4 linked regions of the Yarrowia lipolytica genome follow. The protein of the gene in region 4 purifies or fractionates together with the protein of the main gene of each other region. This does not show direct contact. Links are inferred from orthologs where the notes say so. Each region holds a gene or a part of one and is shown on either strand. Other genes may lie near its edges.

Region 1 (8,766 bases), on a different chromosome or scaffold from region 4:
TGATCCGCTTTCCGGAGCTCTCTCCATCAAGATGCAGGTACAGGGACATACACAATCCGCAGTTTGAAGGTATAACAAGGAACTATTAGATCACATACCAAGTCTGTTAATCGTCTCTGGGAATATTGCCCACCCTCTATTCAATCTTAAACTCCAGTATGGAGCTCATAGCAGAGTTAGCTTTGAGAGACCTACTTGTAGCATGCGTTGGTTACATGGAACAGATCATTAGGCTAATACATGTTGTAGTACAGTATGTACCACACAACAGTACCAGTATATAAATGTAGAGGATTCAGCATAGGAGGTGATAGAAGCAGCAGTGACATTCAGTCAGTCTAATTTGTATCACACAAGTTGCAAGTGAGTATGGAGAGATGGACTGGACTTCCATCATCGAGAAGATGTCACAGGATTGTCTGTTGGCAGGAAGTCTACAGCTAGTTGTGGTACAGTACCATTGGAAGTGGCGGTGGACTATTAAGAGTTGAAGTTGTTGATGTTTCTGAGAATGCTTATCGATCTTGGAAACGTTCACCACTGTCAGCTTATGCTCAGAACAACTCAATGACAACCTTTCCAACTCAGTACCTCAGTTAATTATCTCCTTTGCTAATTTCAGTGCTCTCGTTCATTGCCCTCTTTCTTCTTGTTGCTCAGGCTCTCGCGCAAACGGCTCCTATCACCCAGGAGACATACGACTTTGTTCTCAAGTACGGATGGCTATCTAACGTGGCCTATTGTGTCAGAGCCCCTGGCCCATTTGCCCTGCAGAGCGATTTTACCTGTGGAAACTCTTGCGCTCATTTTCCCGATGTGACTCTTGACTACCAGTTTGGAGGAAATTTCTTCTCGACTTCAGTTACTGGATTTTTGGCCCACGATCACACCAAAAAGGAAAAGTATATTGTTTTCCGAGGCACTTTCTCCATTGCAGACGCTATTACTGACATCCAAACGATCCAACAACCCTACATGACCAGTATCCCTCCTCTTAACACTACTGACATAAACTCCACAAACCCTTCTGCCAGTATCAATTGTCCTGGCTGCCAAGTTCATGATGGCTTTCAGAAGGCATACAGAGAGACTATGGTGAACGTACAGGATCGTCTGGTCGACTTCCTTGGAAACAACACTGACTACAAATTGATCGTAACTGGCCACTCTCTAGGAGCTGTCACTGCTCTATTCATGGGCATCAACCTGAAGAATCTTGGATATGATCCAACGCTAATCAACTATGGGCAGCCTCGACTTGGAAACAAGGCTTTTGCAGACTACGTGGACGCTCTGTTCTTTAAGCAAGGAGACGACGGACTTACCATCAACCCCGAAAGACGGATGTACCGAGTCACTCACTGGAACGACTTCTTTGTTGGATGGCCCGCTGGTTATTCACATACTCTGGGAGAAGTTTACATCAGTGATCCCACAGGTATTAATGCTCCTATTGAAGATGTCTATTCCTGCGCTGGACCAGAGAATAATCAGTGTCACCATGGATCATTCAATCTTCTAGAACGACTCAACATTCTCAAGAACCATTGCGGTTATCTCAATTGGATTTTCTACTGTGCTATCAATGTGGACAAGAGAGAGATGATGATTGATCCTCCCCGAGTTGGCAAGAGAGTTGAGCATTGGAGTGGCAAGTTTTCTGATGTTGAATCGACAGAAGGCCTGATGTATGAGGCCATTTATCCTATGTAATTGAATCACACCAACCTTTTCCGAGCCATTCTCAAACACTTATACTTAATGAGTATTGTTAATACTGTATGTGCAGTACATACTGTAGCACCATAACCGACCACTGTTTTCTCTTGTTTGTACGATTTTTTTACGTCTTTACCTGTGCAATAATACATAATAATTTACTATTCCTCCATGCTATACAACTACAGGTTGGCAGGTCCCTCGAGTTGGTTGTACATGGGACAACTCTTGTTGGTTCGAATGTGGCCATATGCACCACAGTTCTTGCACTGTCGCGGACCCTTGCCTTTGCCGACACCCTTGCCTGAAGGGGGAGGAGTGTCGGTGCCGAGGTTGATTGTGTTGAGACCCTGCTTCTGGGCCTGTCGCTGCTTTCGTCGCTCGCCCTTCTTTCGCAGATCCTCCAGCCGCTCCTCCAGCAGCCGCTTGTTTCGCTTGTTGGCCTCCTCGTCGTTGGTGGGGTCTAAGTCGTCGAGTGTTAGCTTGGCCTCGTCCATCAGCTTTCGTCGTCGAATGTATGCTCGAATGACACTGGGGTCCTTGATGGTCTCGACCTTTCGCTGGATGATACCGTGCTCGTCCTTGACCATTCGCGTGATTCGCAGCACCTTGTTGCGCTGCTGCATGGCCGAGTCGCCTGACATGAGCGACATGTTATCATCGTCGGGGAAGGCTGCGCTAGTGAAACCAGGCGTAGACACCCGCTCTTGTTGTTCTCGCTGCTCCTCAGCATCGGCCCATTTTGAATCTTCGTCGTTCTCTTCAGGTACCTTGGTGTTGCTGAGAGCTCGACACTGGGCATACCAGATTCGGCTGATCTCATCGTCGTATGCACGCTGCTGGTGGGCCACGTTGTACTTGTGTCCGCCAAACTTGCTCTTGTCAAGCTTCTCATTGACAGACTCACCAGCGGCCTGAAAACCACCCTTCATGGAAGTCTTGAGGAATGAGAAACCCTCGCCTCGACCAGAAGGATCACCCTCGCCATGCAGCTGCAGCATGGCCTTGCCCTGGGTAGCGTTGATGAAGTTTCTGGTCAGGTTCCATGGAGCAGACTGCTCCTCCAGAGAAAGACCAGACTCCTCGCCATTCTCATGGTCGCTCTCAATGTCGTCAGTTCGACCATATCCAGCATCCTCAAGGTTCTGAACACCAACCTGCATGGCCTCCAAGAGAGTGATGTCCTCGGGTGTGATCATGGTTCTGATGCCGTCCTCGCCAGGAAGAGTATCGGTAGGCTTGACCTTCCAGTAACCCTGATCCTCACCTGTTCGCTGATACTCCATAAACTCCTTGAGCCTCTGTCGGTTTTGAGTGTCAATCTGATCAGGGAAATGTTCGGCGATATCCTTCACGTTGATTCTATGATAAGGTGATGCGTTTAGCACTCGATAGACAATCATCTTGAGCCGGTTTTTGGAAGCCGTGGTTACCTTTCGAGAGTGTGGCCCGGGTACGTCAGTCACGGGGTATGTTTGACCGACAGTGAAGACATGTGGAATATTTCTCAGAAAGTACTTTTGGCCAGCCCCAGTCACATCGCCTCCAGTTGATCGGATCATAAGAAAATCTGTGTCACGTGGTGTATGCTTGAATACGGGGGCTCGGATCATCTTGTTGTACAGAGTAGGCACAATCTTACCCGGCTCGACGAATCCAAAGTTCCAAAAGGGAGACTTGTCCTGGACCGACAGAACATGTGTCTCTCCAACGGGGAGCTTAGGTCGGGAAGTATCCTCAGGAGAAGCTTTTCTGTAATAGTTGATCATCTTAGAGCCCATTCCGTAGTTGGAGAGGGTCATGGGGAATTGCTCAGCGTACTCCATGAGGAAGTACTGAGCAGAGTCACCCAACGACAAGTCCGTAGTCTTGGCCAAAAGATCCTTGATAGGCTTTCCCCTGTCTCGCTTCTTCTTTCGGATCTTCATTCGCGAAAAGTGAACAGTAGTGTTGGGTTTCACCACAAATGATGGCCGATGGAACGAACGAGCCTGAGGCTTCGAGATTCGCACTTTGTAGAATGGACTTTGCAGTCGGAGAGCTGGCATGGAGTGATCGATAGACAGATTGCCAATAGTGGCTCGTACCTTGCTCTGTGTGTTCTCCTTGAGCATATCGTAGGCTCGGTCGTTACTGAGGTTAAATCTGTTTCGAAGCTGTAGTTCGGTGGAGGGAATGGCAGGAGTCACATTCTTCGATACACGACCATCTGTGTTGATGAACAGTAGGTTGGGGTCGTTCATATCGAGGTTGACCTTCTTCACCTGACTGAGAGCATCGCCTTCAAACAAGGCCTCGTCGTTCCAGGCCTCTTCGTTTCTGTGCACGCCGAGCTGTGGAACAACCTCTTTTTGTTCCTCCTTGACCTTTTCGCCCTCGCAATCCATATCCACGTCTCCATCCCCATCATCCTCATCTCCCCACGTGATCTTCCAGTCAGTAATGTCGAAATGCAGCTGCTGGTCTGTTGCTGATTGTGTGGTTCTGCTTTCTCGGGCCAGTTCCTGCTTATCGTCCCCCGTCTCGGCCTCGGTGACTGTTACAACACCCGGTCGCCGCTTAGCATGGTCCACCCACACTGTTCCTCGTGTCATCTTACGCTCATCTGGCGCCACCTCCAGCTTAGTCTTTGTGGGGACACACGGACGAGCAGTGTTAGGCTTGGGCAGACTCAGAACAGCAAACTTGTTGTAGAAGAGCGAGTTCATCTTCATAGGCTTGCCCTTTTGGAACCCGGGGAAGTACATTGCAAGCATGTCAAGATCAGCCTGACGCGCCATCTGTGCAATTTCCTCCAGATTGAGCTCCTGGATGTTCATGTGTTGGATGTCATCAAATCCAGAGGCGTCCATCTTGTCGGCAGGCCCTAACTTTCCCAGTTCGCCTAGCTCATCTGCGTCAAGCTTCATGTCCAGCCCGTCGCCTCCAGCAGCCTCCATCTCCATCTCTTCGTCTGACTCTCCAGGTTCACCGGCATGCACGACATGGTTGTTGCTGTTGGCATTGTTATTCAACATTCCAGCATGGACAACACCACCATCATCGTACTCGTCCATCACAGGCAGCTCGTCCATTTCGTTGCCTCCCCAGCTCTGGCTCCAATGTTCGTCATCTCCCAGATCAAATCCTCCAAGCTCATCCTCGCCAATGTGGAACTGGAAGCCACCCAGGCTATCGTTCCCAGACATGGATAGACCAGCTTCCTCCTCGACAATCATCTCCTCATCCTCCTCAATCACGTTGTTTCCGGTTGCTTCCTCCTCTTCGGGCAGCTCATCATCTGCCAGCTCGTCTTCGTCCTCGAAATCGATGGCGTCTGCGGAGTGTTTGATGGCATCTGCACCATCAAGCGATGGGACAACACCTCCAACGTTGGTAGGGTCGCCACCGAGTGCTCTGGCCCAGTCAGCGTCTTCGTCGGCCATTTCTGTTTGTGTAACTCTTGCACGGGGTGTAAATGTAGCTGCATATTGGATTTAAGATTCAGGGCTAGGGTTGATTACATAAGGCTAGCGGATGAAGAGCATGCTATCTAGTGATAGATTGGATGATGACCAAATCCAGACGACAAGGAAATATTTCTAAATGGTGATAAAGGGAAATGGCCATTCGATTTTGGACAGTTTGGTACATTGCCACGAGTCTTTATTGAGTCAATAGCCTCTCGAGGTGTATATAAAAGTCAGCGCATGCACTGACCCGAACACATACTGTATAACGTGTATGATTAAATCCTAACATTTATATAACCAACATACCGACTACTTGTAGATTCTATATTACTTTGTACACTAAGCACTTTGTGAGTCATGTCTTTGTTACAAGTATTGGTTGCTGATCATCATTATCCTCACTCCTGTTGTTGTTATGAAGTGTGGTTTTTATAGTTGGGTTTCTTCTCCTGCATATCAAGATCTTTACGCGCTGGGTCAAGCTTAACAAGTTCAGAAGAACTCATTCACTACTCAATTTCGATTTTTTGGCACAACGAGCTGTCTTTTGGACTCGCCACATGGAAGACAGATTACAGCAAAGGGTACGGGAGACTTTGTCACTACCGAAAGTCTTCGACCGGCTGGACTCCTATTTTCTATTCTTTTCGGCATGGTACAGACGCGTTTCCAAGGACTACACATTACAAGAACCGGAGGAATATGAGAAGGAGCGTCAGAATGCCGCCTTTATCGTCGACAATGATTCAAACACGGGCGAGGAGGTTGTGAGAGTGACCAGAGATCACGTGCCTTGGGTGGTGCTTGCTGCTCACTTCATGACGGGGTGCTCTACGAATGCTACTTACGTGAGCGAACTGCTAGAGAAACGACTCAACATTGGAAGAATTCCGAAGGAGATGGTTGAGAGTATCATTGCATGGAGTATATCTGGCATGCATATGGACGAGAAGCTGGCATTGCAAGCTCTGGAGGCACGGCTTGACGAGACGGAGAGTGGCAGGGCCTTGACCCAAAGCTTGAAGGATAAGATGCAGAGGACGATTTGGGACAAGGTGTTTCAGCATCATCTGAAGAATTCGCAATTAAACCCAATCTGCGAACGACCCGGAGTTGTGTTTTTTGCCCTGTTTCCTTTGTCTAACGCGAATGGATATTCTCTGCTCTTCATCGATTATCTCACCAAGGCTGCCACATTCAGCATACCTTGCAAACCCAAAAACGCGCTGGACCTGATCAGGGACATTCGGGTCGCCGTTTTGGATCATTTAAGAGCATACGGACAGCCCTTGGCCCTAATTTGCATGAACCCCTGTCGAGGAACGAACGGATGGCTTGGAAGCGTACTTCAGAAGGCATTCAAGCACATGGTACCTTTCGATACGGTAGTGTCCATCTACGAACTTCGGGCCCGCTCACTTCCATCCCGAATAGCTGAAGTTTTCGAAGAAGCAACTACAGCTGTGAGAGACCCCAATGATACCTTGAAAAATAGCCAACCATTCTGTTTCCTCAGAACCCAGAACACCCACGAGACTTGGGAGCATCTCGTGTTGGGCCATTTTATGACTCTTCAGAATCGCTCCTTTGTAAGACATCCTCGAGACCTGGAGTCGGGTGCTACATCTGATAATATGAATATCTGTTTTCACATCATCTACGAAGTGAATCTCTCTCTGCCTTCATCTAAGATAAGCAACGAGGCATGGTCTTGTATATTCTTTCCCAATCCCTTTCCAAAAGCGAAGCTTGACCTATTCAAGCCAGAGAAAATGCCCAGAGCTCTCGAGAATGAACTCAAGGAAGTTACAGCGCTATCCCTCGATTTCACACTTTCTCCCGAGACACCTGCTTTACCTGCAGACATGCTGGAGTTTGATGAGACTTCTAGACGCATCGTTGCATTTTGCTTCCGAAAGAGGCGTGACAGGGTCTTGCCGAAGAATTTTGTGGAAGAGCTTGAGCTGAGAAAAATCAAGAGAGCGAGAAAGGATGCCGAGGAGTCGGAGAAGAGACCCGTTGAAGAAGCTGCTGATAAGAAAAAGCAGCAGGAGGCTGAGAAACAGACTTCTGGTCTACAAAACGCGGAGGAGGAAAAGATGCCACTTGCTGAAGAGCCTGCTGAGAGGCCGGCTGGAGAGAAACGACGATTAACAGCAGAAGCCGAGAAACAAGGGCTGGCTGAAGCAGAAGCTGAGAAATTGACGGTTACTGGAGTTGGACGCGTCAGACAGACTGAGGAAACTGAGAAACAGATACTGGTCGGCGAGGAAGCTGGAAGATTGCGACAAGCTGAGGAGGAGGAGATTCAGGGATTGGGTGAGGAGGAAGTGGAGGTGGAGAGGGCGAAGCCGGCTACTGAGGCTAAAGATGCTGCTGAAGATGAGAGCCAAAGACTTGCAGAAGAGTGTGAAGAGGTCGGGCGTCATAGACAGACAGAGGAGGGGGAGCGACTCAGACTGACAAAAGAGGAGAGAACGAAGCATGCTGACGAGGAAGAGAGGGCCAAACAGGCCGATCAGGTTATGGAGGCTATGGCATCTTTCACGGCCGAAAAGAAAAGACTTGCCGAGGAGGCCGAACGAGAAAGACTAGCCGATAAGGCGGCCGAGGAGCAGAGGTTGGCGATAGAAGCGGTAGACATGGAAAGGGCTGAGGCAGAGGAACAGAGCCGGCAGGAGGTGGCCATTTTGGACTCACCAGACGACAGCGAATCTTCCCAGGAGATACAGGTTGAGAAGACTGCTGCTGAGGAAGTGGCCGAGAATCTCAGGGTCCAAGAGGAATGGAGACGACAAGAGGCTGAAAGACAGAAGGAGATTGAGGCCATCCTAGCGGCTGAAAGAAAGGAGAAGGCTGCTAAGGAAGCTGAGGTTGAGGCCGAGACCAAAGCTAATGCAAATATTGAGGCTGAAGCTGCTGACACCACTCTTACCGAAGAACGCCAAGCAGATTTGGAGGATGAAGAGGATCTGCCCCCTACTAATAACCCCATTACAGCATTCCTCAGAACTGTCAAGCTGGCTCTGAATCGAGCACCACCACCTAGGAAATAGAAGCTATCAAACGGCTTGGAAATATATATACATCAATAATTTATAATTTAATATTCAATGGCAGCTACAGGATATCCCACTGGTAAGTCTTATCGGTATGTGTTTAGTAAGTTTTCATGATATGTAAGGGGGGTTGGCATCTTTGGGGTCTACTAAGTAGCAGGGAAACTGACATGGGACTGTTTAGAAGAATGAAATCATAATTTTACTACCAAAATATGTTATTATTCCCGCACTTATTTCCAAATATCTCTATCATCACATTCTGGAGCTTTCCATCTGATTCTGACGACTTCTTCCTCCTGCACCCTAAAAATTCGTCGGCATAATGCATGCATCAACGATGCACATTTTTTCGCCACTGACCAACCTCTCCGAACCTAAACCGCCTCGGCAAGGGATATATAAACCCCCTCTACGTCCCACTTTTTCAATCAGAATCAGACCAGTTCACTCTGAGTCATTCTGGAGATGGAAGGTGCCTTTTATAGCCTGCTGAGATGCAGAGCTGATAAGCAGACCTGTCTCATACAACGAGG
Region 2 (6,953 bases), on a different chromosome or scaffold from region 4:
CTGCTTCCCCAGTCAGCAAAACGAGGAAGGGGAGTTCCGAAGTTCTCTGATCGCAGTTTTCGTGGGAAAATCACGCCCTGAAAAACAACGGTCACAATAGCTGCAGTAGCGATCATGGTTGCAGCACACCACATGAGCGTGGTGGAAGAGAAAGCGGAGTTGGAGTCAGGGTTGGCAGGGAGGGTAAACACCTCGTTATTGTTGCTACCGGGATACCACTTAACAGAGAGCTGGAGGGGCAGAAAATCACCGTTCTTGTATCTCTCGGTCTCCGTTCCTCTGGAAAACGCGGCTGCTACCACAGGCGTCTCGGTCTTTCGCGAGTACATCATCACGGCATTGAGCTTCGGGTCGATGTCCAAATGAGACTCCTGAATGTGGCCACGAATGGTGAATGTCAACGGAAGCCAGGTTGTAGGCTCTGAGAGCACGTTCTTGTTCTTTTGTTTGGAGGCTCTGAGTCTGCAGCTGAAGGGAGCATCCTCGTGAATATAGAGCTGGAAAAGGTGGTAGAGCGTGTCGGAGAATCCAATGGTGCAATTCACATCTTGGTCAACACGGTATTGAAGAGAGAGGGGCTTTCCTGTTTCTCTGCAGATGGGGAAGTCCTCATAAAGAATTTCTTGGGTCTTTTCATCGACCATGTGTTCTCCGTCGTGGATGTTTCGTTTAATGCATTCGAGAGGGAGATCGTCGCCTATGCTATAGGGGTTGAGATCTGTTTCTCCCCGAGAATCAAAAAAATATGGCTCAGCAGCTAGCACTCCGGCGATAAAAAGCGGGGCCAGTCTCATGTTGGTTGTGTTGGATGGTGTGGCCAGATGGTTGATCTGAACCTTGTAAGGTCAGCTACGTCACGTGCCCAAACAAAGAGTGCTTGGTGTCAAGGCTAAATTAGCCACATGTGGAAGGCACAGCGAGGCATCCATCGTGTCATAGCAACCATCACCTCGAACACCCAGATGGGAAAAATGGGAATGCCACAAACCTGTGCTGATTAGTCATATATCTGCCCAAAAGAGCCTTCTACTCTGAAATCAGATCGTACATGGGCCATGCATGGAGCTAAGTTACAAGTAAGAGGCAGCAGCAACAAGCCTCCCCATAGTTTCTTTCATGCCATGACGACCATACCGCAATCGTCACGGAAAACCACACTGATTCCACCACCAACGCAAGACTTTGCAGCGCGCCAACAGACCATACGACTGTATCCCTCCTCCAACTACGTGTTCGCAACCAAGGATGCTCAGGTTGAGAGGGATGTCTCTGTGCAGGCGCGCATGCAACGACTGAAAAGCATGTACGACGAATCGGGGATGTTGCGGTACGTGGAGGGGGTATTTCTGTGTCATGAGTTCGGAACTCCTTACGTCTTCTTACTCCAGTTGCCAAACAACTTTTTTAAACTTCCCGGAGAGTACTTGGACCCCGACGAGGAGGACGAGGAGGGTGGATTGCTGAGGAAGCTCGCAGATAGGCTCAGCCCTGAGAACGGAGAGGACCAGGAGAACTCGAAGTCATGGAAGGTACTAGACTGCCTGGCGCAATGGTGGAGACCTAACTTCGAGGTTTTCATGTATCCATTTCTGCCACCGCACATTTCTCGACCAAAAGAATGCAAGAAGACTTTCCTCATTTCTCTGCCCGAGAAGATTGCTTTCTTCGTACCATCGAATATGACATTCCTTGCTGTCCCTCTTTTCGAGCTCTATGACAACCCCGCGCGATATGGACCCCAGCTTTGTGCGTTGCCACATTACCTCTCAAGATACAACTTCGAGTGTGTAGACAAGAATGGTGTGGTGGTGTCGCAGTTTCCTGGGTCTGCACCATACCAGCAAAAAGATGGAGAAAGCAAATTGCAAGCATAGAGCAACGGGCATGTGGATCAAAGACTGGATAATGGGTGGCAACTGCATAAACACCACAGATCACCCTGAGAGAAGATGTGCCCAGCCATCTAGTTACTAAGCTGCTAGATGTCCTGCATGAGGTGGTCGTTCAGCACCCTAGTAGTTACAACTACGAGGTAACTGCGGAATGATCAGGTCTCTTTGGTAAGTACAAGTACATACCCGGCAAGGGAGTATAGCTGAAGTAGACTGCAATAAACTTTGTATAATAGCTACGATACTCGATGTTTGTCCCTTCTAGTGTTCGCGGTTTTGTTTCTAATGTTTGTATTTGAATAAATTAACTAATATACAGGATTCCAAGAGATTGGTGACACTCAGCATTATATATGGGTTGCAACAAGGCCCTAAGAGAGCCAGCGCTGAGACTGGAAAAACTCATAGATTCGAGCGGTTTTGTTGACATCAATCTTGACCAGTTCACGGGCTGTACGCTTCTTGAGCACACCTCCGGTTCGCAGCAGCTCTCGGAACAGCGTTTCCTTGATGGCCAGATACGGCTTGGGCAAGATACGCAGCTGGGAACAAAGAACCTGCTCTTCTGGAGAAAGCAGCTCCACGTCTGGGGCATGCGAGATGTCGAGGGGATTGGCCACAGGTTTTCTGAAAAGCCGTAAGGTGTCTGCTCCCGAGTCAGGGTCCATCTTCACAGCTTCGGCGGCAGCCTGGTTTGCGGCAGCGGCCTGTTTGTTGGTTTTTTGAACAAGAGCATTGTTTGCAGCATTCATCGAGTTTGCAGTGTATCTGGATCCAGTCGAGTTGATGGAGTTAATGGGAGCCTGCAGCCTGGCCAATGCGTTTGCACGTACAGTTTTATCTCGTTCGTATTTGGACGCAGCTTCGAAGGTGGTGATACCGTTACGTCGATACTCCTGAAGTTCAGCCAGTCGTCGTCGACACTGGAGCTCAATAATCATTCCATCAACAAAATCGGTGAAATCCTGTAGTGTCATGATTCTTGCAAACGGCTTTAACTTGTTTACAAGCTCGCGCTCCTCCTTGGTCCGTTTCTTATCGACAGAGGCGTTCTTCCTGTACTGAAGCAGCCCATGGTTGATGATGGCTCGCTTTCGCTCGGTTCGTGATGTGAGACGAGAGTTGTAGATATCAAGAACAGTGATCTTGAGCTCCACATCAGCCTCGGTGTCGTCCTGATCAAAAACCATGTCCTTGACCGTCATCTCGGCCTCGTTTTCATGCTCGGTCTCGAACTCCAGACGTCCCGGCATAAACCCTTGCACCTCATGGCATGCAGGAACAGAAGCCGTGGGCTTTTGCTTGGGCACAGGGAGAGCGGTGGGCATATTTCGTCGCTTATCCAGACGCTCCTTTTTGTTTGCTGCGAACTCAGCTGCAGTGATCTCGAATTTCCGCTTCATGGGGGGCAACGGGTAGTCTGGCGAGTCCAGATAGACTTCCTTGTAATGCTCCCCAACCTCTTCCTTTGATCTACCACCGATATGGTCAGCGATGTCCTGCCAGTTTCCAAGACCCTGCATCTCGGCACCCTCGATTAATAGCAACTCCTCATCAGCACCCCAGTCCTCAGTGAAAATAGGATAAGCATGCTGCTCAATAATCATGTAGTTGTGGTAGGGCTTGTGGACACCTGATGAGGCACCCTGAGAGAAGCATTGTACACACAGATCGTAGTCCTGGCACTCCGCACATCGGATTCTTACCAGGTTGGTGCAATCACACGAACACACGTCGCAGTGAAATCTGGATTTAGTTAGCATGGGGTGATGAAAGTGTATCGAAATCGAGTCAACGGGGGACTCTAGCACATTCCTTCGCTTGACACAACCTTGGAGCAACTATACAGCAACAACTTGCTGACAAACTGCAAAAATATATAAACCATGCTGAGTGCATTTGGGACATGATGTATGATGTACTCACTTGACGCCTGGCTCTGATGCCTTGGGATTTGTCGGCGCGTTTTTGCGATGGATAACCGTCATTATTGCGATTTAGACGTAGTCGTTCTTTGGTTGATGGCTGGACTTCTTCGTGTCCAGTTGTTTGTCCTGTGCGCCACGTCGTTTCAAGCGGCGATGCTAATTTATTGGCGTAGTGACCAATTTCCAACCCACTTTCGAAGCTTAATGCCACATTCTGGAGGTGTGTGTTAATTTCTCACTGCTCACACCAGCTACTTGTACAAACTTGTATGTTGGTGGCGCACTGTATAATTTATTTACCGAAAGCGTCAAATCGCCTCTTCTCTTACATCGCGATTTGTACTTGCATTGTATCTCATAGGGTATGTCATGGTTCAGTGTAGGCCAGTGTATGGTGTTACCCGGTCGTATTGCTTGGAGTTTGATGTTCAACATGTTCCTGGGGCTTTTGAGATTAGGGCTTGCTTATGTGGGAGGCGTCTTGAAAACGAACGACCAGTCTCAATTTGGTTATTAGGGTTTGGGACTTACATGTGGGAGGGGCTCTGATGGCTGGTTGTTGGTTTAGGGTTGAATTCCGTTTTAAATTTTGACAGTCCGATTCTGGGCCCAAGCACGTGCACTGCCTAATCGGGACGTCCCAACGCTGGCCCGCGCACATTGACGAAAGCTGTAGAGATTTTACTTCTCAGTGTACTTTTCGCCAGTAACAAATAGCACAAAATGGTGAGTGTGAAAAGGTGGCAGTGTGACGGGCACAATCACGACTGACAAACGACAAGTGAATCTATCTGCGACGACAAGATGAGAAGGATTCCGTGGTGATTTCCAGGCCGTTACTAACCCCAGGGTCGAGTTCGAACTAAGACTGTCAAGCGGGCCTCCAAGGTCATGATTGAGCGATACTACCCCAAGCTCACCCTCGACTTCGAGACCAACAAGCGACTTGCTGATGAGATCGCTGTTATCCCCTCCAAGCGACTCCGAAACAAGATCGCTGGCTACACCACCCACCTCATGAAGCGAATCCAGAAGGGTCCCGTCCGAGGTATCTCCTTCAAGCTTCAGGAGGAGGAGCGAGAGCGAAAGGACCAGTACGTCCCCGAGATCTCTGCTCTTGACCTTTCTCACACCGACAACCAGCTCCAGGTTGACAACGATACTGCCGACCTCCTCAAGACCCTCGGATTCTCTTCCCTTCCCCTTAAGGTTGTCCACGTTTCCCAGCAGTCTGCTGAGCGACGATTCCGAAAGCGAAACTAAAATAGCAAAATGTATTATTGATTCACTAGTTGATTCACATGTTTATTCGAAATGTTTTTATGTTCGTAGCTGATGCATGTAACTACTTTTACGTAGTTCTACCGTACTCGTACCAGTAACGGAACGGGTAATTGTAGCTATGATATGTATTGTATGAGTAATGCACTAATTAGTACTGTACTGTATTGGTATTGTAAAACGCCAGATTCTCTATCGACATTACAGATGTTGTTCGTACTGTAGCTCGTGAGATGTGATACTGTAGCTCGTGAGATGTGATACTGTAGCTCGTGAGATGTGATCTCTCATGCGACGACACACTGCAAATGTGTATAACCATGTATGTTTGATACAACACATCGTATAGTACAGGTACAAGTACTATAGCTAAATGTACAGTACTGTATACGATACTTGTACATACGGCATAAGCTCGTACTGTGTCTCCTTGTACGATACTTGTATCGTGGTATGTACATACGGTACAAGTGCGAAACAGTTCGTATACAAGTGCCACTTGCACACGTTTGTTGTGCACGTGTATATAAAGCGTGTGGGCTATTAAAGCTGAAATAATACTTTAGGTGCTCACTTGGGTGTAATTGAGAGCTTTCTCGAACAATTTAGAGACTTTTGTATTCATTCCTTGCAGCTATAAGAGACTTTGCTTATATAATATAGTTAGTTTTGTGTCGTTTCGCATCATCTGATATCTCACACTTCCCAATTTGGGTCTGTGTGTGTTAGGGTTCAAGAAGTTAAAGCTCGATATGCATACCCTTGGTCCAGCAGCCATGGTCTGATATTCAAGTGCTCTCTTCACGCGTACAGAGATTTACGATATTACAGACACTGACAACTTGAGGTTTCACGAGAAGCTATGTCTGACCAGCACTCTGCCCCCTTTCGAAAAGTAGCAGGGTCAGACGTGCTTGAAAGCTCCAACCCTACGCCAGGCGGCCTGGACATCCCAGAATGTTTACCTGACCCAGGTTGGGAAAGATCAGAGGGTGGCGGTGGGGTACCAATTTTCCGGCCTACCATGGAGCAGTTTGAGGACTTCAATCGATTCATCATGGAGATTGACAAGTGGGGTATGAAAGCTGGCATTGTGAAAGTCGTTCCTCCCAAGGAATGGCATGAGTCTCTACCTGCTTTGGATGAAGTTGTCAAAGGCATTAAGATCAAAAACCCGATTGTTCAGCACATCTCTGGCCATGCTGGCCATTTCCGCCAACAAAACATCGAGAAGCAAAAGTCTTACAACATTGCACAGTGGAAGTACTTGAGTGAGCAGCCTGACTATCAGCCCCCAGCCAAGAGAGGAGAATCTCGCAAGGACTTCAAGAAACGCAAGAACATACCCCAAGACGATGCCATTTTTGAGGATTTCGACTATAGATTTGATGACTCTGAATTCACCACGGAGAGGATGGACTTCTTAGAAAAGATTTACTGGAAAACGATCGCCTACAAAGAGCCCATGTACGGTGCCGATATGCCTGGGTCACTATTTGACGACAAGACACGCTCATGGAATGTGGCCCATTTGGACAACTTGTTGAACCAGTTGGATATCAAGATCCCTGGTGTCAATGATGCGTACTTGTACTGTGGTCTGTGGAAGTCGACTTTTGCCTGGCACTTGGAGGATATCGACCTGTATTCCATCAACTACATCCACTTTGGTGCACCTAAACAGTGGTACTCTGTAAATCAGGAGGATGAAGCCAAGTTCTACCAGATTATGGCTGACACCTTCCCAGAAGATCACAAAGCCTGCAAGGAATTCTTACGCCACAAAACCTTCTTGGTTTCTCCTCAACTGCTGGAGCGCCACGGTCTCACTGTTAACCGCCTGCACCATTAC
Region 3 (9,020 bases), on a different chromosome or scaffold from region 4:
GCTGTCACCGAAAATATATACAGACGAAGAGGTGGTGAGAAGCCGACAGTCACACATCTACGAGGATGCCATGTTGGACATTCCACAGATTAGCGCCGGGTCCAGATTCTTCCACTACTTCACGTTCAGCCACTCTACGACTCAGTCATCGCCTCTCAATACCTCACCTCTCAGTACGTCGTCTCAGTACTGTACTTGACAAGACGACGTACCAAGAGATACCCTGGGTCGTTTGGAAAGGGACAAAAAAGCTCTACGACATTATAGATATACCTTCAAATCGTTTGAGTTGATGGGGCGTCATTTATCTACTAATGAACCAGCTGGAGGTATATCTACAGTGATTCTGGTGACTTGTTTCACACTGGATGCAGCAAAACATCATGCAGACACTGTTGTGCTAGTGTATCAGGTTACCCGATCATGATCTCATGATTCTCCAGGGATTTTATCCAATGGGGTCATTTCGACGTTTCGATCCGTTCCCCGAACTTGAGATGTGAATAGGAGTCTCCGGAGCTGCCACTTTTCGATGAGAACGCAGCATGTGCCTTACATGTCGATGGGTTGTTTCTAGTCACTGCTTGACTCTAGCTGACATCAGGATGAACCCCAAAGTAGATTTTTCGACTCAGCTCCGTTGGTTCATTGTCCTACATCCTTCAGATGATCGTCTTTTCCATGGTTCACAGCAGTTGTCTCACCATTCCTTTTCACCTATGTACTTGTTCTTGCTCCCTTCACAAGTCCACAACGTCAAACAGTCCCTCCCTTTTCTCGTGAAGACTCGAAAGTTCTTCTTTCCAAGCTTTCTCGTTTCCTCGTCAGCTCTTTCATCACGGTTGTCGGTCAGCTTCTTCGTGCCTTGGTTGGACGATACCCAAGACATCTTCATCATCATCGTGAAGCTCGAAGAGACGTGAAAATTGTCATGAATACGTCTAGACACCATTGAAAGCATTGAGTAACTGCCAAGAGTTAGCGAATCACTAGAAACAACCATTGACAGTGCCATGGACACAAGCCTTGGATTACGATTCCAATTTGTCCGGAGCTCCTAATAGTGTTCTCCATTTTCCCTCTGAGAGAGAGTAATTACCATCAATCACCACCAGAGGATCAACAAAGACCTTTCAAAAGGTGTATAAAGTGCTACAGTGATCAAATGATCAATTACCATTCCCAAGTTCCTCGTCTCGGACTCTACTGCTACGCTACGCTACTGGCTTCCGGGATAATGCTTACGGTCCAGACCAGGGACGGTCAGTCATTCTACTCGTAAAGCAGTTTACTGCAGGATACGATAATCAACCTATCAGTACTGTATCATTCACTGTTTACACATTAGCTACCCTAGCAAGAGCAACTTACTTGACTACATACTGTACCTACTTGCATCGATGTGTTTGTACTGAAAATATTCGCCGTTGTTCCAGCGCAAAGGGCACGCATTGGAATGGTTTAGAGACAAGATATAATTAGCCCTAGCACTTGTCACTTTGGACAATTGGCTTGAACACGTGACTCTTCAGCCTGAATTATTACCCATCGTTCCATTCTACTTAGACAAACATCTTGAATTGATGCTCCTGAATGCCAGAAGAGAGATAGAGAAAAACAGAGCCGATTATTGTATTTATTGGACCTCATTATGCCATATTTTTAACTCCCAAACTCCACTGATAGACCCCTTATCGAGTTATGACAAACCTCATTTGTAGCACATACGGAACATGTCCAGTCCAGGTTTAAATATCCATTTACAGAACGCGATGGAGGTGCTAGACACATAGGGACTTCATTATTGAAATCTTTGGCCTCTATAGAGATTGTGTACCATTTGTGTCTATACCTCAAAGTGCTCTGGAACGAAAACATAGCGCAGACTTGGAGGCGAACAACTACTTTTATGAAAAAACAGATACAAAAAAAGAAGACTTAAAAACAAAAACAAAAACAAAAAAAAAAAAAAAAAAAAAAACACGACATGACGTATAAATAATATATACATTCTCTCCTTCTTACTCTACAGACATATACACTCAAAAGAAGCGGGCCGGTCATCAGAAATCCACCAACATTGTCACGTGTTTGACCAAAAGATGTGTTCAGCAGTCAACTGAACCACGAGAGCTCACCGCAGAGTTCACCGCAGATGTACTCTCCCATTCTCCAGCAAAGGCGTCGTAGTACTACTGGTGGAAACGACTACACCTCCTCCTACAAACTTGCGTCTTCTCTGTTCCTACCTCCTCCCCCCTCCCCCAATACAATCATCATAAATATACATTATTACTTGAAACTGAGCTTTACCGACAACCGCTTGACCTCCTTTTTTTTGGGACCGGGATTTGTCGTGATCCTGAAGCCCGGCCTCACCGAATACTTGACCTTTGGGTTGTTCTTGGATACCACCACAATCTCCGACCTCTGCGCCTGCTCCTTGAGCCGCTTGCTCTTGATGGCAGGCAACACGGCCGTCTTCTCCGGAGCAGGAATGTTGGACTCCACCCGCAAAGCCAAAGAACTTCCAGAAGAATAGTCTACGCCCAACTTGATCAGACTGGGGGTCGACAACTTGACCTTGAAAGCATCCACAGGTACAAACAGCACCTGACACACGTCTAGCAACTGCGACTTGGCCTCCAGACCGTGGTATGGACTTCGTAGCGAGTCCCACAGCTCAGTCTGGAGACTGGTGTCCTGCCGGAGCATGTCTCGAAGAATATCTGCAGCCCCAGTAAGCGACGTTCGAGCCATCTGCACCTTTCGCGCCTCCATCGCCGCCTGGGTACCATCATCGACAATCATACCGTCATTGTCATCGGCATGGTTATCTGCAGACATATCACCCTTGATGGCCAAAGTGCCGAGATACCGCGTGAAGAGGTCGATGATGCCGTTTCGCACCCGCGCAGAGTCGTCCAGAGCAGCCGAGGCGAACACATAATGCATAATGTAGTGGTTTCGAAGCCCACCAATGTGCAACATAGCCTCGAAAGCTGCCAGACGCACCTCCGATGAGTTGACAGAACGCGTGAACTGGATGAGATCCTGCAGCTTGGCAGAAAATAGACCCTTGAGAAAGAGCCGCTTCTTGGCCTCCAATGCAGCCACAGTCACCACGTTCTGGTACGACGGAATCCAAGTGTCCAGGCGACCACACCGATCAATCTCGTTGACTGCACGGGCAGCAAATTCACGAGTAGACTCGTCGTTGCTGTCTGACGAACACAAGACATCGGCCAAAAACGTAATCAGATCAGACAGGTAGAACGAGTCACTCATGGAGTTGGTTGAATTCTCATTGTAGGCCAAAATGTCTAGAATCAGCGTCCGGATCTCTGCGGGACACTCGCCATCTCCATTTCTGATCTGAGAAAAGGCTCGAGTAATGGCCTTTTGCACGAAATATGTGGGGAAATCCGAAAAGTCGTTAGATCGAGGAATAGACGAGTTGGGGAAACAGAACAAGTTCTGAAAGGCCTTTAACAGATGCGTCTGACCAATGTAAGACGTTTCCGAAACTGCCATCTTCACCAACCCAAGTGCTGCTGCCACTCGAACTCCATAATAGTACCGCCGATCAATCAATGTACGTAGCAGGATCGTCGAATATACCTTGGAGGGTCGCGACTCGGCAAAGAACTGCACCGATTCGTACTGGGCAACCACATCTCGATCCTGTTGAAGCTGAGAAGCGTACATGTAATCGGGTTGGTTGACATGGATCTTACAAATCCATTCGAAATCTGCGTCGATTCGGAGCCACTCAAACGCCTCATTGGACATGCGCATCTCCTCATCCTTGCCCCACTCACTGAGCTCCCACTCTTCCAACTCTGCATCGGTCTGTAGCACATCGCCCAGACACGAGATGACCACACCGACCTCATCCTCCTCATTGTTTGAAGCAGAAGCTGCAGGAGGCGCCGCAGTTGCAGTAACAGTGGCCGCAGCTTCCACCTCTTTCTTGTTCCGCTTCAGCCGCTTATACTTTGTGTTGTACTGGATATCAAGTTTGGTAAAAATGTGCTTGATATCCACCACATGCTCGTAGGGAGTACCATCAGCCTCGTGGATTCGAATTGTAATGGGACCAGTAAAAAGTGGCGTTTTGGGACCTCCTTCCTCCTCATCCCCATGATCCACTCCCTCTTCACTCCGAATAACGTCCCCAATAAAGGTATCCTCCACAGGTTTCTTCTCGCCGCTCTTGTCGGTCTGGGTCTGCCGAATACCCATTTCAATGAACATTCGCTTCTTGTTGAACCGCTGGGTGACCTGCAGTACAGGAACACCACTCGAGTACACCCACTGGTCAAAGAACTCGTCCAGCTTGCAGTGCGAAACTCGCTCACACAGCTTGTAAAAGTGGTTTGTGCCCAGAGCATTGTTGACAAGATCACCAGAAAGAGACTGCAGAAAGATACGGGGAATGACTCGAGAAAGACCAAACGTCTTGTCGATTTTGGTCATTCGACGATCCAGAATAAACAAAACTCCCGGAGCCTTCAGGTTGATGAAGCTCAGATCCTTGGGAAACAGAGGGAATCGAAAATGGGGCTTGGCGAGCGGTGGGCGACCCACATCTTCCTCACAAATCATCTCAGCCAACCGCTTAAACCGGTACCGGTACTCGTTATTGCCCATCAGACGCTTCATGAACAGAGCAGCCATGTAAATAGCCAGACCTTGCGTCAACCACGTGTCGTTCCAGGTGCGTGGCACAATGTTGACACCACACCATTGGGTAGTCAGGGCAACTGTGAGAGCTTCTGTGGACGAAAGCAGGGGATCCACTACATCCGGAGGATACAGAAAATCGTCAGAGGCAACACAGAGACCCCCAGACGCGCCCATCTGTGCCTTGCCATACTCAGACACAAACACCACGCTCATGGCGTCGAACGGGAATGAACCATACTCATTGGTCAGAAACTCGATGGCCTTGTGTAGGAAGACACATGTGTTTGAGGCGTCGGAAACCTGGTCCGGAAGAGCAAACACCTTGATGGGGAATCCTGCTGGTGTTCCTCCGTCCTCGTCTTCGTCTGTGTCTCTGAAATCAGGCAGAGGCGCCTCCACAAATGGACCCACAGCAAAGCCAATGTGCTGGGCCGAGACGGGGTTCCAGAGGGAGTAAGCAATGGTCTTTTTGGATGCATCGGCGTGGGACAGCTCCTCCACCACAGCTCCATTTCCCACCACCTCAATTTCGATTTCCATTTCCAGATCAAGTTCCTCTTCCTTGTCGTCCTGCTCCATCTCCTCATCCTCATCATCGTCGTCAACGGTCTGTTTTGGCGACCCGGTTTCTGTTGTGAGTTCCTTTTTGACCACATGCTCGTCGGCAAGTTCTTCCTTGACACGTGGAGTGGCTCCTTCGAGACCCTCGTCGTCGTCTGCGTCCTCCATATCGACGTCGGGCTCCTCTTCCTCGACCCTTGCTCCTCCTAGACTGCCCACCGTTCGGGGCACCGTCACCTCAAACTGCCACGTGCATCGAGACCACAGACCGTCCACACACGGCAGCCAGTGGCTGGTGGCCGCTCCTATGGGTGCGTGGGTTGTGTATGCATGCCAGAACGACTTTTTGAGCCTCGATCCATGGCCCCCGACAAACGTGACTCCCGTCTTGGGATCCCGGACCACAAACGAAATGGTGACAATCAGAGGAGCGTACACCCCGACGGCCTCCTCATCTGCGGCGGGCCCTGTTTCCCGTGACGTGTCCTGATAGCTCACCTTGACGCCTCGCGGCAGATTCACCTCCAGCTCTCCCTCCAACACCTCCTTGTGGGCGTGATCAATGTACTTTCGGTAGAGATGGTGCTGATGGACGTCCGAGACGGTGCGCGAGTCGCTGAACGCCTCGTAGCCGCTGGCGTCGTGATGTGTGAACGTGGCCTTTTTGCCGTTCACCAACACAGACTTGATCTGCGCCTGCCGACAGTCGAACCGAAACTGCCGTATCGACAGGTCCGACGGCACAATCGTGATTTCCGTGGAGCCGCGCAGCACCTTTTCCCCGAGATCCACGTCCAGCGACACCTTCTGGTGCGCCACATTGAATCCCCGCGACATGCTGTAGAATGGTTGGTTTCTGTGTGTAACTGAGTGGCGTCGCAACTGTGGTTGGTGATGGTGATGGTGTGCAATTACAGGTGCATAAGGTTTGGCGGTAGCGGGGAGAGGTCTAAGGAAAAGCGTCGGGGATGGGCGAGAGGCGATGAGGACGGGTTTGGTGGAGACAGGTGGTGTTGGAGATTCCGGCAATATTCTCCTTTTTACGATAGGAGTGGTCCTGGGTGAGTTGGAGAGTGTTGTTTTGGCGAAGCAGTGTAAGTAACTACAAAGTATTGGGTCAACTAAAACGGAGCTTTTTTAACTAAACTTTAAGGATAGATCGGAAGAGCGGTCAGCAGGAATATTACGATTATTAATAAAATATTATAGAATAAAAAAAACAAAATAAAACAAAATAAAACGAAATAAAACGAAAATAAAACAAAAAACATGGAAATAAAACCAATTACCAGTCCCAAAAGTCACCCATAACCATGCATTACCAAAATAACGAAAATAAAACCAATTTTCAGTCTCCAATAACCATGCATTACCATCTATATAGCTCATTCTCACACCTTTACTCATTCTTGAACCCCTTGAAGTACTTGACTCGAAAGTCCTCAGCCTTACCGCCTTCAGTCTTTCTCAACTCGCCCTTATCGCCCTCCTTTCGTCGCCTGTACACCAAACACCGTCGCGACCACTGGTTGAAGTCCTGCACACAGTTGCAGATGAGCTCTAGATCCTCATGGAGAGGAATCTCGGCGTCTGTGTAGTCCTGGTTGGCGGTGGGCATCCAGAAGGCGAGCCGGCCGTCTTCAACAAGTCGCTCAGCCGAGAAACTCAACAGAGCATCCATCATCTTTCCAAACTCAAACGGCTTCTTTGGAGGAATGTAATCTCGACGAGTATGCGCCAGCTGACCGTCCACCAGAGTCGTTTCCAGATGCTTCTTCTTCTCAACGTCCTCCTCTCGCACTCCCAGGACTTTGAGACCCTCCCGAACTCCGTAGGGAGGATCACAGACGATGGAATCGAACTTGAGACCCTTTCGGAACGAGTTGTTGGTGAAGTCGACCGCCAAAACGTCCAGAAGCCGGTTAACGGAGTTGTACTGTTTGAAGTTGGCAGGAATATCGCATCCTTTACCCTTGCCTCTGATCATGCGCACATCGATGTCCGAACCCACCGTGAGAGCTCCAAACGCTGCCGCAGCCACCAGAAACGATCCGGTGCCGGCAAAGGGATCGTACATGAGCCCGTTTCGCTTCACATGCGCCAAATTGCACGTCAAAAGAGACAATTCAGCGTCAAACGACGTCGTGCCGATATATTTGCGTTTCTTGAGATCAAAAGTGTCCATGGCACTCCGGTTGGAGTTGGCAATGTGTCGTCCAAAGAATATTCGCGCGGGAGCGGGTTCGGGGTTCTGCCCGATGACTCGGTAGTCCTCCAGAATGGTGAACACGTGGTCCGGCGACTTCATTTTGATCTTTCCCTTGAAATCCATGTATGAAAACCCCTCCACCATCTTGATAAACTCCTCCTTGGGTCGCGAAGATTGGTATCCAATGATTTCAAACTTGAACGAGTCGGTGGCATACTTGGGCCACAGTTGGCTGGTCTGGGTCTTGATCTGCTCGTGAAGCTCCTCCATGGACGCAGCTGGACCGCCCCAAAGCTCGTAGATGGACTTGGCAAGCACGGATCGTCGAATCAGCTTTTTGGCAGCCTCGTCGTTCTCCAGCTCCACAATCATGAACGGAGACGACTCGTCATGGGACGACAAGTCAACGGCGATATTTTCGAGCTGGGCCAGGGCGGTGAGTTCGGCCAGCCGAAACTGCATGTGCGTTTGCGACAGCAACAGCAGGTACTTCATTGCTTCTGTTTGTGTGGTGTTTTTTTTTTTTTTCAGATCAGTAGTCGCATTATCAAAATATTTTTTAGACTTTGACTTTTTTTTTAACATAATCATTTACAGGAATCGAACACACGACGTTTCGATATTTTCCCCAATTGGGGGAATGGGTTAGGGTAAAACAGAGTGCATAGTGACACCGCAGAGGGAGGTTTTCTCCTCTACCACACACACACACATACATAGCGACTAGATAGTTAACATGTCTGGACTCGACGACGACGACGATTTTCTCAACGATATTTAGTGAGTACTCCACGCGACCGGCGACGTGACACAGATAGGTATTTAGAGTATCTAGGTGGATATAGGGCTTTTGTTTTGTGTGGGGGTGGAGGGAGAGTTGCCAGAGATGTACTTGCACAATCTAGATGTATGGTATTAGTGGTCGGAAGGGTGGTTGGAAGGATGGTTGGAGGGGTGGGTTGACCAGGGAGAGTTCCGATTCCTGAGGTGTTAAAGCAGTCAAAGGGAGATCAGTTGCAACGGTCAGACTGAAGACCCATTTCGGAACTGATCACCATCGACTTGTGCCGAGTTTGCATAGCCCAGCTTCCCTGTCCCCATTGGGCCCATAACGACTCTTCTGTACTCACTTTTACTGCTCCACGGCTGTCACCCAGTACCCAAGGGTAAGTTAGATACAAGACCCAACTGCTGTTGAGCAGACAGACTGTTCCGGCGGTTGCTGGAGTAGCGAGACACGAACCGATGAAAACATTTGACTATCTCCACTAGCCAGCATTCTACCCCTAGCTTATCCTGCACATACTTGAGATCTGCCCCAGCTGTGTTCTGAGCAGTCATTCCACGCACTGGAATGCAATCATAAATCTTCTCCAAGTTCCTCGTTAGACGCCATCTTCCTTTAGATGTCCATTTTTCAGACCACATTCGTCCCCTTCTCCGCACCATATACCTCTCCTCTCACACTCCAGACCAACATCCTTGACATATTTGAGCTCGTGACTACAAAATCATCGTCTCTAGGAGTTGTACGAGTACCAACTAGGAGTTCCCACGGCCT
Region 4 (5,795 bases):
TAGCTACTTGTACTGGTACTTCTAGCTACAGTAACTGGTGGAACCGCCCGTTCTTGTGCTGGTACTCGTACTGGTACACTTGTAGACTGCTCATTGAATCAATATCACCGCTCTACGGCGCCATCTAGCACGGTAATAAACAACTTCAAAAAAGTATACCTCTGTCATCTGTCACTTCTATCGTACAAGTATGTACATACTGTACATGACGAGATTCTCCATAAATACTGTAGACTACAAGTAGCTAATCAAAGAGCCGTTCTATTTCTACGCCCACATTTTGTAAACCATTGTCCAACAATGACTTGTCTACGTTCTCATGAGGCCATGAGACCGAGCAAATGGCTTGTCCGACTGCGGTGGCTCACTCATTGGACCATTCACAAGCCATTGGTTCGCTCACGGGTCATTAACCACGCTCATGATCGTCAATATCCACATCTTTATGCTATACCCTTATTCAACACCCTTCTTGTTGAAGTAAACCCACTGGTCCTCCAAAGGCTTCTCCTCCAGCTCCTCCCAGGGCTTCCACTCGCTCATCTTCTTGGCGAGCTCGAGCTCCTCGTGGGCCTGGATGACCACCTCCTCAATGAGACCGGCTCCGATCTTGTTCTCGATCACCTCACTGACCTCGTTGTCCTCCACAATCTGCTTTCGGTGAGCAGTCAGGTTCTCGATGGACTGTCGGTAGACAGAGTCCTTGGGGTGCTTGTCTTGCAGCTCCTTGAGGGTGGCCTCGTACAGGGCAATCAGTGCCGGTCGGGGGTTGGGATGCTGGTAGATACCGGTCAGACCGATAGGAGCTTTGTTAGTGGCATAGACAAGACATTCGTCTCCTGTCGTGGTGACATCAGACGTAGTTGTGTAGTGCACAGTCAGGTTTAAAAACCACATAGATACTCACTTCCCTCTCGCATCTGAACGAGGACGCTCTGGCCACTCTTCTGGACTCCCTTGGAGACGTTTCGCAGCAGCTGTGTGTATCGCATTTTTGGGGTTGTGTTCTGAGCCTCCGAGCTGAACCGTGATCTTGACGCTATTACTACAGAGCTTGAGATTTTACCCTTCGTTTGGTTGGCCAGAACCTTGTTTGGGGGTTAGGGTTGGGAGTACATGGGCTTTGATGTATTACTTGGGGGGTTAAGTAATTATTAACAAAAGTGTTTAAGTTGGTAAATATGCAATAAATTACAAAAATGAGTATCAAAATCAATTTCTCCAGTAATTTCATGGTATATTTCATATTCATCACCTTCCCGACATATCCATTACATCCCAGTAACTACTCTCCTTTCTTGTTATGATATTCATCTAAGTTCAAACATGCATCTCCACACTTTCATATCTCCATCACCATCTTACTAACAACACACAGCAAATGGGTGTCTTGCTGTCTTGCTTAAGAGGGCCCGTTGAGGAAGACCCTCCTGGTGTGAGTATTCATTTGATTGCCGGCATCTTTTCCCCACACACTCTCTCTATGCAGATTACTAACCCAGATCTCCGAAAATGAACCTCTTCTTGGAAACAACACAATCGACACCACAGACGATAATGCAGTGGACCCTTCGGACCGCCAGAAACGCATGTCTAACCTGCATCAGATTGTGACGAGCACCGGCTCGAATCTCATCGACGTCGGCGCGGTGGCCCAGGTCGAATCCCCGAACGGCATCACCCAAAAACGAAGTGCCTCCGACTTCAAGCGCCAGCTGGACCCCGAAACAGGCATTGTGGTGCTTGCTAGCGATGCTTCTCACGTGAGCAAGGCCAACCTGAGCGAAAAGGACAAACAGGTGGTTTCCAAGCATGTCGGCAAGTTTGTGGAGCTGGTTGCCAAGGAGTCCAACGTCAAGCCGGTGGGAAAACTGGTGCAGAACTTTTCCGAGATTCAGTCGTAACCAACGGCGAGACTAGCATAGTGTATTTATATTGTTGTTGTTGACCTCAAGAATTGGAGCGTAGCGAATGGTCTTGTATAGCTTTTTCAGTACAAGTAACTAATTGTACTCGTGGTATCATGTTGTACAATGAAGCGTACGGCTGTGGAATGCATTTATGTGTACAGCAGTGTAGTTTGTGTCTCGGAATCAGTCTTTCAATGGTTTCTGATGCATCTCTTGCTCTCCCTTGAAGCACTACGAACACCTCTCGTCAAATATCCATGAAATTCCAACCTTTACTCCGGCGGAGTTCAATAATCAATAAAAATACACCTAATTAGACCGCATCCTTCATTTCCTTATCCTCATTGCTGCTGTTGTTATTGGTCTCTTCAGCTCCCTCAACAGTCTCTTCTTCCTCCTCGTCCAAATCCCACTCCTTGGCAGTGAGACAGTACTTCTCCGGGGGCAGTCTCAAGCCGTAGCCAGGCTGTACCTGTGGCAGAGCTCGTCGGTTACGTTCCTGTGCCATCTCCAGAAGCAGTTCTTTGGGTGGTGCTGGCTTGAACTGGTAGTTGACTCGAGCAGCAATAGCCAGTCGCACGTCTTCCACTGACAGAGCCGACGTGGAAACTGCTGCTGCTGCTGCGTTGGCATTTCCGCCAGATCCGCCGGAAACAGGGCCCGTCTTGTCGTTGTGAGAGTTGTTGGCGGCCGCAGCATGGTCCGAGTACAGCAGTGCATCGTGCAACACGCCTTGTGTATATCTGTAGGCAAAGTCCATGAGTTGAAGAGGCACCCGTTCCTGGTACGAGGTGACGCCCATGGAGGCCAGAATCAGATGCAGCAGACGCACGTCTCGCGGTGTGGCTGCGTTTGGAAGATCACCCGATTCCATGTGTGTGTCTGTGTGTGTTTTTTTGTGTGTCTTTCTGGTAGACGGTTATGAGTGTGAATCTTTCTGTCCTTCTGATAGAGTTGCATGTTGGATCGTGCATTATTAGGTTCAGGTTATGAGTGGTGGGTAGTGGGGAGGTGCTGGTGAATCAGGGACCTGACATAACTCTTATAAAAGTCGCAGTTGAGGTCTTTTAAAAAAGAGAAAGATGCCAAAAGGAAGTAGTTGTGTACCATCTGAGGGATATGTTGTCACCTCTTTCAAAAAATCAGATCCCAGGCATATGTTATGACGTGCTTGGCTCCCCACATACACTGCAATCCCACCCAAGAACGTGGATACATGAATAATACAGTCACCAACTGGTTATGACTAGGTCAACGAGGCCAATTGCACCAATTGAGCGCGCTCGTGACGTCCCCGCGACCTCCCCCTCGCGCCCATCTCCCTGCGCCCACCAGTTCCAACGTGACATATATTGGTCCTGTTTAACATTATGCTCTTCCACGTAGCACCAACACGGTCCCAACAGTACGACTACTTAAGCACGCCTCCTTCCCTGTTACTGCCACCACACAGCACAACAGCACACGATACTATCCACCATGAAACTGTTTGCCACCATTGGAGTTCTGCTCGTGGCTCTTCTGGCCTTCTTTGTCCAGCCTGCACAGGCCGAGCCCGACGCCGAAATCACCCACAAGGTCTACTTTGACATCAAGCAGGGCGAGGAATCGCTCGGAAAGATCGTCATGGGTCTGTACGGAGACGTGGTCCCCAAGACCGTGGAGAACTTCCGAGCTCTGTGCACCGGCGAGACCGGCAAGGGCTACAAGGGCTCCAAGTTCCACCGAGTCATCAAGAACTTCATGATCCAGGGCGGAGACTTCACCCGAGGAGACGGCACTGGAGGCGAGTCCATCTACGGCCGAAAGTTCCCCGACGAGAACTTCCAGCTCAAGCACACCAAGCCTTACAAGCTGTCCATGGCCAACGCCGGCCGAGACACCAACGGCTCCCAGTTCTTCATCACCACCGTGGTCACCAGCTGGCTCGACGGCAAGCACGTTGTCTTTGGCGAGGTTCTCGAGGGCCAGGACATTGTCGACGCCATTGAGAACGCCCCCACCGGCGCTCGATCCAACCCCAAGGTCGACATCACCATTGCTGATGCCGGAGAGATCCCCGTGGAGAAGTCCGAGACCAAGGAGGCTGAGCCTGCCAAGGAGGACGCCAAGGAGCCCAAGAAGGACGTCAAGAAGAAGGGCAAGTCCGACAAGGATGAGCTCTGACTACATGGCTCCAAAAAGAAGGCCATTGAAATCTATGATAACCTGCGGGACCGTACCCAGGCCGTGTACCAGCGGGAGAAGCACAACGCCAGCTGCTTTTTTGTTTTTCTCTTCACCGCCGCTTGTGTGATTGCCATCAAGGCCCGAGGGTCTAATGCTATCAAGCAGCGAGCTGAGTAGAGTAATGTAATCGAGAATATGTTCAAGTGATAGTACAAGAACGAGTACATACTGTAGCTGTATGTACACAATTGAGTGGTACATCTACGTACTTGTATGGTATTAAAGGGTACAGTAATTTACCCGCATAGTATCTGTATACTGTCCAAGATCTGCCTGAATATGCATCTTTGTCTGAATGGGGTATAATATATCAGGTTAAATGCAATGTCTATATGCTGGAGGGGAGAGATAGCTTCCAAGAATTTGTCGGCCCCCGATTCATTCGTCGGCTACCTCTTATTCTCATTTCGTGTTGTTCTTATTGACCATGTTGATCAATGGAATGTCGTCTCCAGAGTCTTGGGCCTCGTCGTCATACTCATAGTGCTCCTGAGGAGGAGGCTGGAGATGTTGAGGAAGGTCGTACTGTGTGCGTTTTTGCTGTTGCTGACGCTGCTGCTTGATGTAGGCCTGGTTCTGGTCTCTGATTTGGACTTCCTTAGCCGCGGCCTCTCTGATCTTTTGCAGCACCTGTTTATTAAGGGGGAACTGGGTACCGTTGCCCCGGGCCGCTTCACTGGGCTGGATAGGCAGCAGCCACATCCACCACTTGTCGCCCATGACGAGCTGGAAGTTGCGTTTCCAGCCCACGTCAAACACGTTTCCGACCGTCTTGGACGTAGGCGCAAACGTGTATCTGTATGCGGCAGTGGGCACGGCAGACCGGTACTGGGTGCTTTCCAGAAACTCGACCGTGCTCTGGTTGTTGAACACGAGGTAGAGCGAGAAGGTGGCAAACGTGCCGACCGCGATGGCAAACACCAGTGCCAGGACCATGAGGATCATGACGTTGACGGATATTGCGCCCACGTAGTCTGTGTTTCCGTCCGGGCCGCGCATGGCACCAATCTCCAGAATGTGGTTGTAGAAGACAAAGCCCGTAGAGCCGAGACAGAAGAAACACAGAATTGTCACGTACCACAGAAACAGCACAAAGTACTTGTGGTTGTGGAACCCGATGGCCGTGGCAAACCAGGGGCAGTAGTGGTCAAACTTGAGCACGCATCGCTTGTAGTTTGAGCAGTGGTGTGATCGGTCCGGTTTCCAGCCGATGCATTTGGTGCAGAACCGTAGACCTCCATTCTCCTTGGCACACACGGAGTTAGCCATCTCTCGAGGAGGCGTGAGATGTTGGCCTTCGGCGCTGCATGCGTTCTGGTACTCAACCAGTGGCACCGAGAAGTTGTCGATGTCGGTGGGGCTTCCGGGGCCCACCTTGCATACTTTGAGATAGAGCACGTTGCACATGATGCCGATAGCCACGCCCGCCACGCCGTAGACGCGCCAGAAGGTGGTGTCGGACTCAAACAACTGCGGTTCCCAGCACACCAGCCATGCGTGGACCCAGCAGGCCCAGATGATGAGGAAATTGACGACGAGCGGCAGGAACGCCTTGGCGCCTATGAAGCACCATTTTTCGCATGCAAAGCAGCATTTGCGGCACTGCATTTCGGGGAGTCGAGTGTCGTGTGGCACGCGTAGGTTGGTGTGGTGATG

What was found.
Region 1: the proteins of YALI1_E27243g (region 4) and YALI1_F39885g purify together in Saccharomyces cerevisiae (affinity purification with mass spectrometry; 14 studies listed by BioGRID, with this or other methods). This does not show direct contact. The link is inferred for Yarrowia lipolytica from reciprocal best matches to the Saccharomyces cerevisiae genes TAF9 and TAF1.
Region 2: the proteins of YALI1_E27243g (region 4) and YALI1_F19244g purify together in Saccharomyces cerevisiae (affinity purification with mass spectrometry; 9 studies listed by BioGRID, with this or other methods). This does not show direct contact. The link is inferred for Yarrowia lipolytica from reciprocal best matches to the Saccharomyces cerevisiae genes TAF9 and ADA2.
Region 3: the proteins of YALI1_E27243g (region 4) and YALI1_C19529g purify together in Saccharomyces cerevisiae (affinity purification with mass spectrometry; 5 studies listed by BioGRID, with this or other methods). This does not show direct contact. The link is inferred for Yarrowia lipolytica from reciprocal best matches to the Saccharomyces cerevisiae genes TAF9 and TAF2.

Annotation. Positions count from the first base shown.
Region 1 is NC_090775.1:3,983,446-3,992,211, forward strand, and holds YALI1_F39885g (uncharacterized protein), read right to left. Parts: upstream 5,145-8,766; coding exon 1,902-5,144; downstream 1-1,901. Other genes in the region: YALI1_F39844g (uncharacterized protein), read left to right, coding at 976-1,713; YALI1_F39891g (uncharacterized protein), read left to right, coding at 5,732-8,227. UniProt on the Saccharomyces cerevisiae protein: Functions as a component of the DNA-binding general transcription factor complex TFIID. Binding of TFIID to a promoter (with or without TATA element) is the initial step in pre-initiation complex (PIC) formation.
Region 2 is NC_090775.1:1,920,838-1,927,790, forward strand, and holds YALI1_F19244g (uncharacterized protein), read right to left. Parts: upstream 3,881-6,953; coding exon 3,819-3,880; intron 3,639-3,818; coding exon 2,264-3,638; downstream 1-2,263. Other genes in the region: YALI1_F19216g (uncharacterized protein), read right to left, coding at 1-794; YALI1_F19218g (uncharacterized protein), read left to right, coding at 1,056-1,874; YALI1_F19249g (uncharacterized protein), read left to right, coding at 4,090-4,182, 4,670-5,083; YALI1_F19268g (uncharacterized protein), read left to right, coding at 5,964-6,953. UniProt on the Saccharomyces cerevisiae protein: Component of the transcription coactivator SAGA complex. SAGA acts as a general cofactor required for essentially all RNA polymerase II transcription. At the promoters, SAGA is required for transcription pre-initiation complex (PIC) recruitment.
Region 3 is NC_090772.1:1,950,042-1,959,061, reverse strand, and holds YALI1_C19529g (uncharacterized protein), read right to left. Parts: upstream 6,088-9,020; coding exon 2,293-6,087; downstream 1-2,292. Other genes in the region: YALI1_C19510g (uncharacterized protein), read right to left, coding at 6,650-8,050; YALI1_C19500g (uncharacterized protein), read left to right, coding at 8,196-8,239. UniProt on the Saccharomyces cerevisiae protein: Functions as a component of the DNA-binding general transcription factor complex TFIID. Binding of TFIID to a promoter (with or without TATA element) is the initial step in pre-initiation complex (PIC) formation.
Region 4 is NC_090774.1:2,721,557-2,727,351, forward strand, and holds YALI1_E27243g (uncharacterized protein), read right to left. Parts: upstream 2,785-5,795; coding exon 2,224-2,784; downstream 1-2,223. Other genes in the region: YALI1_E27218g (uncharacterized protein), read left to right, coding at 301-888; YALI1_E27229g (uncharacterized protein), read left to right, coding at 1,382-1,435, 1,503-1,904; YALI1_E27249g (uncharacterized protein), read left to right, coding at 3,390-4,076; YALI1_E27273g (uncharacterized protein), read right to left, coding at 4,542-5,747. UniProt on the Saccharomyces cerevisiae protein: Functions as a component of both the DNA-binding general transcription initiation factor complex TFIID and the transcription coactivator SAGA complex.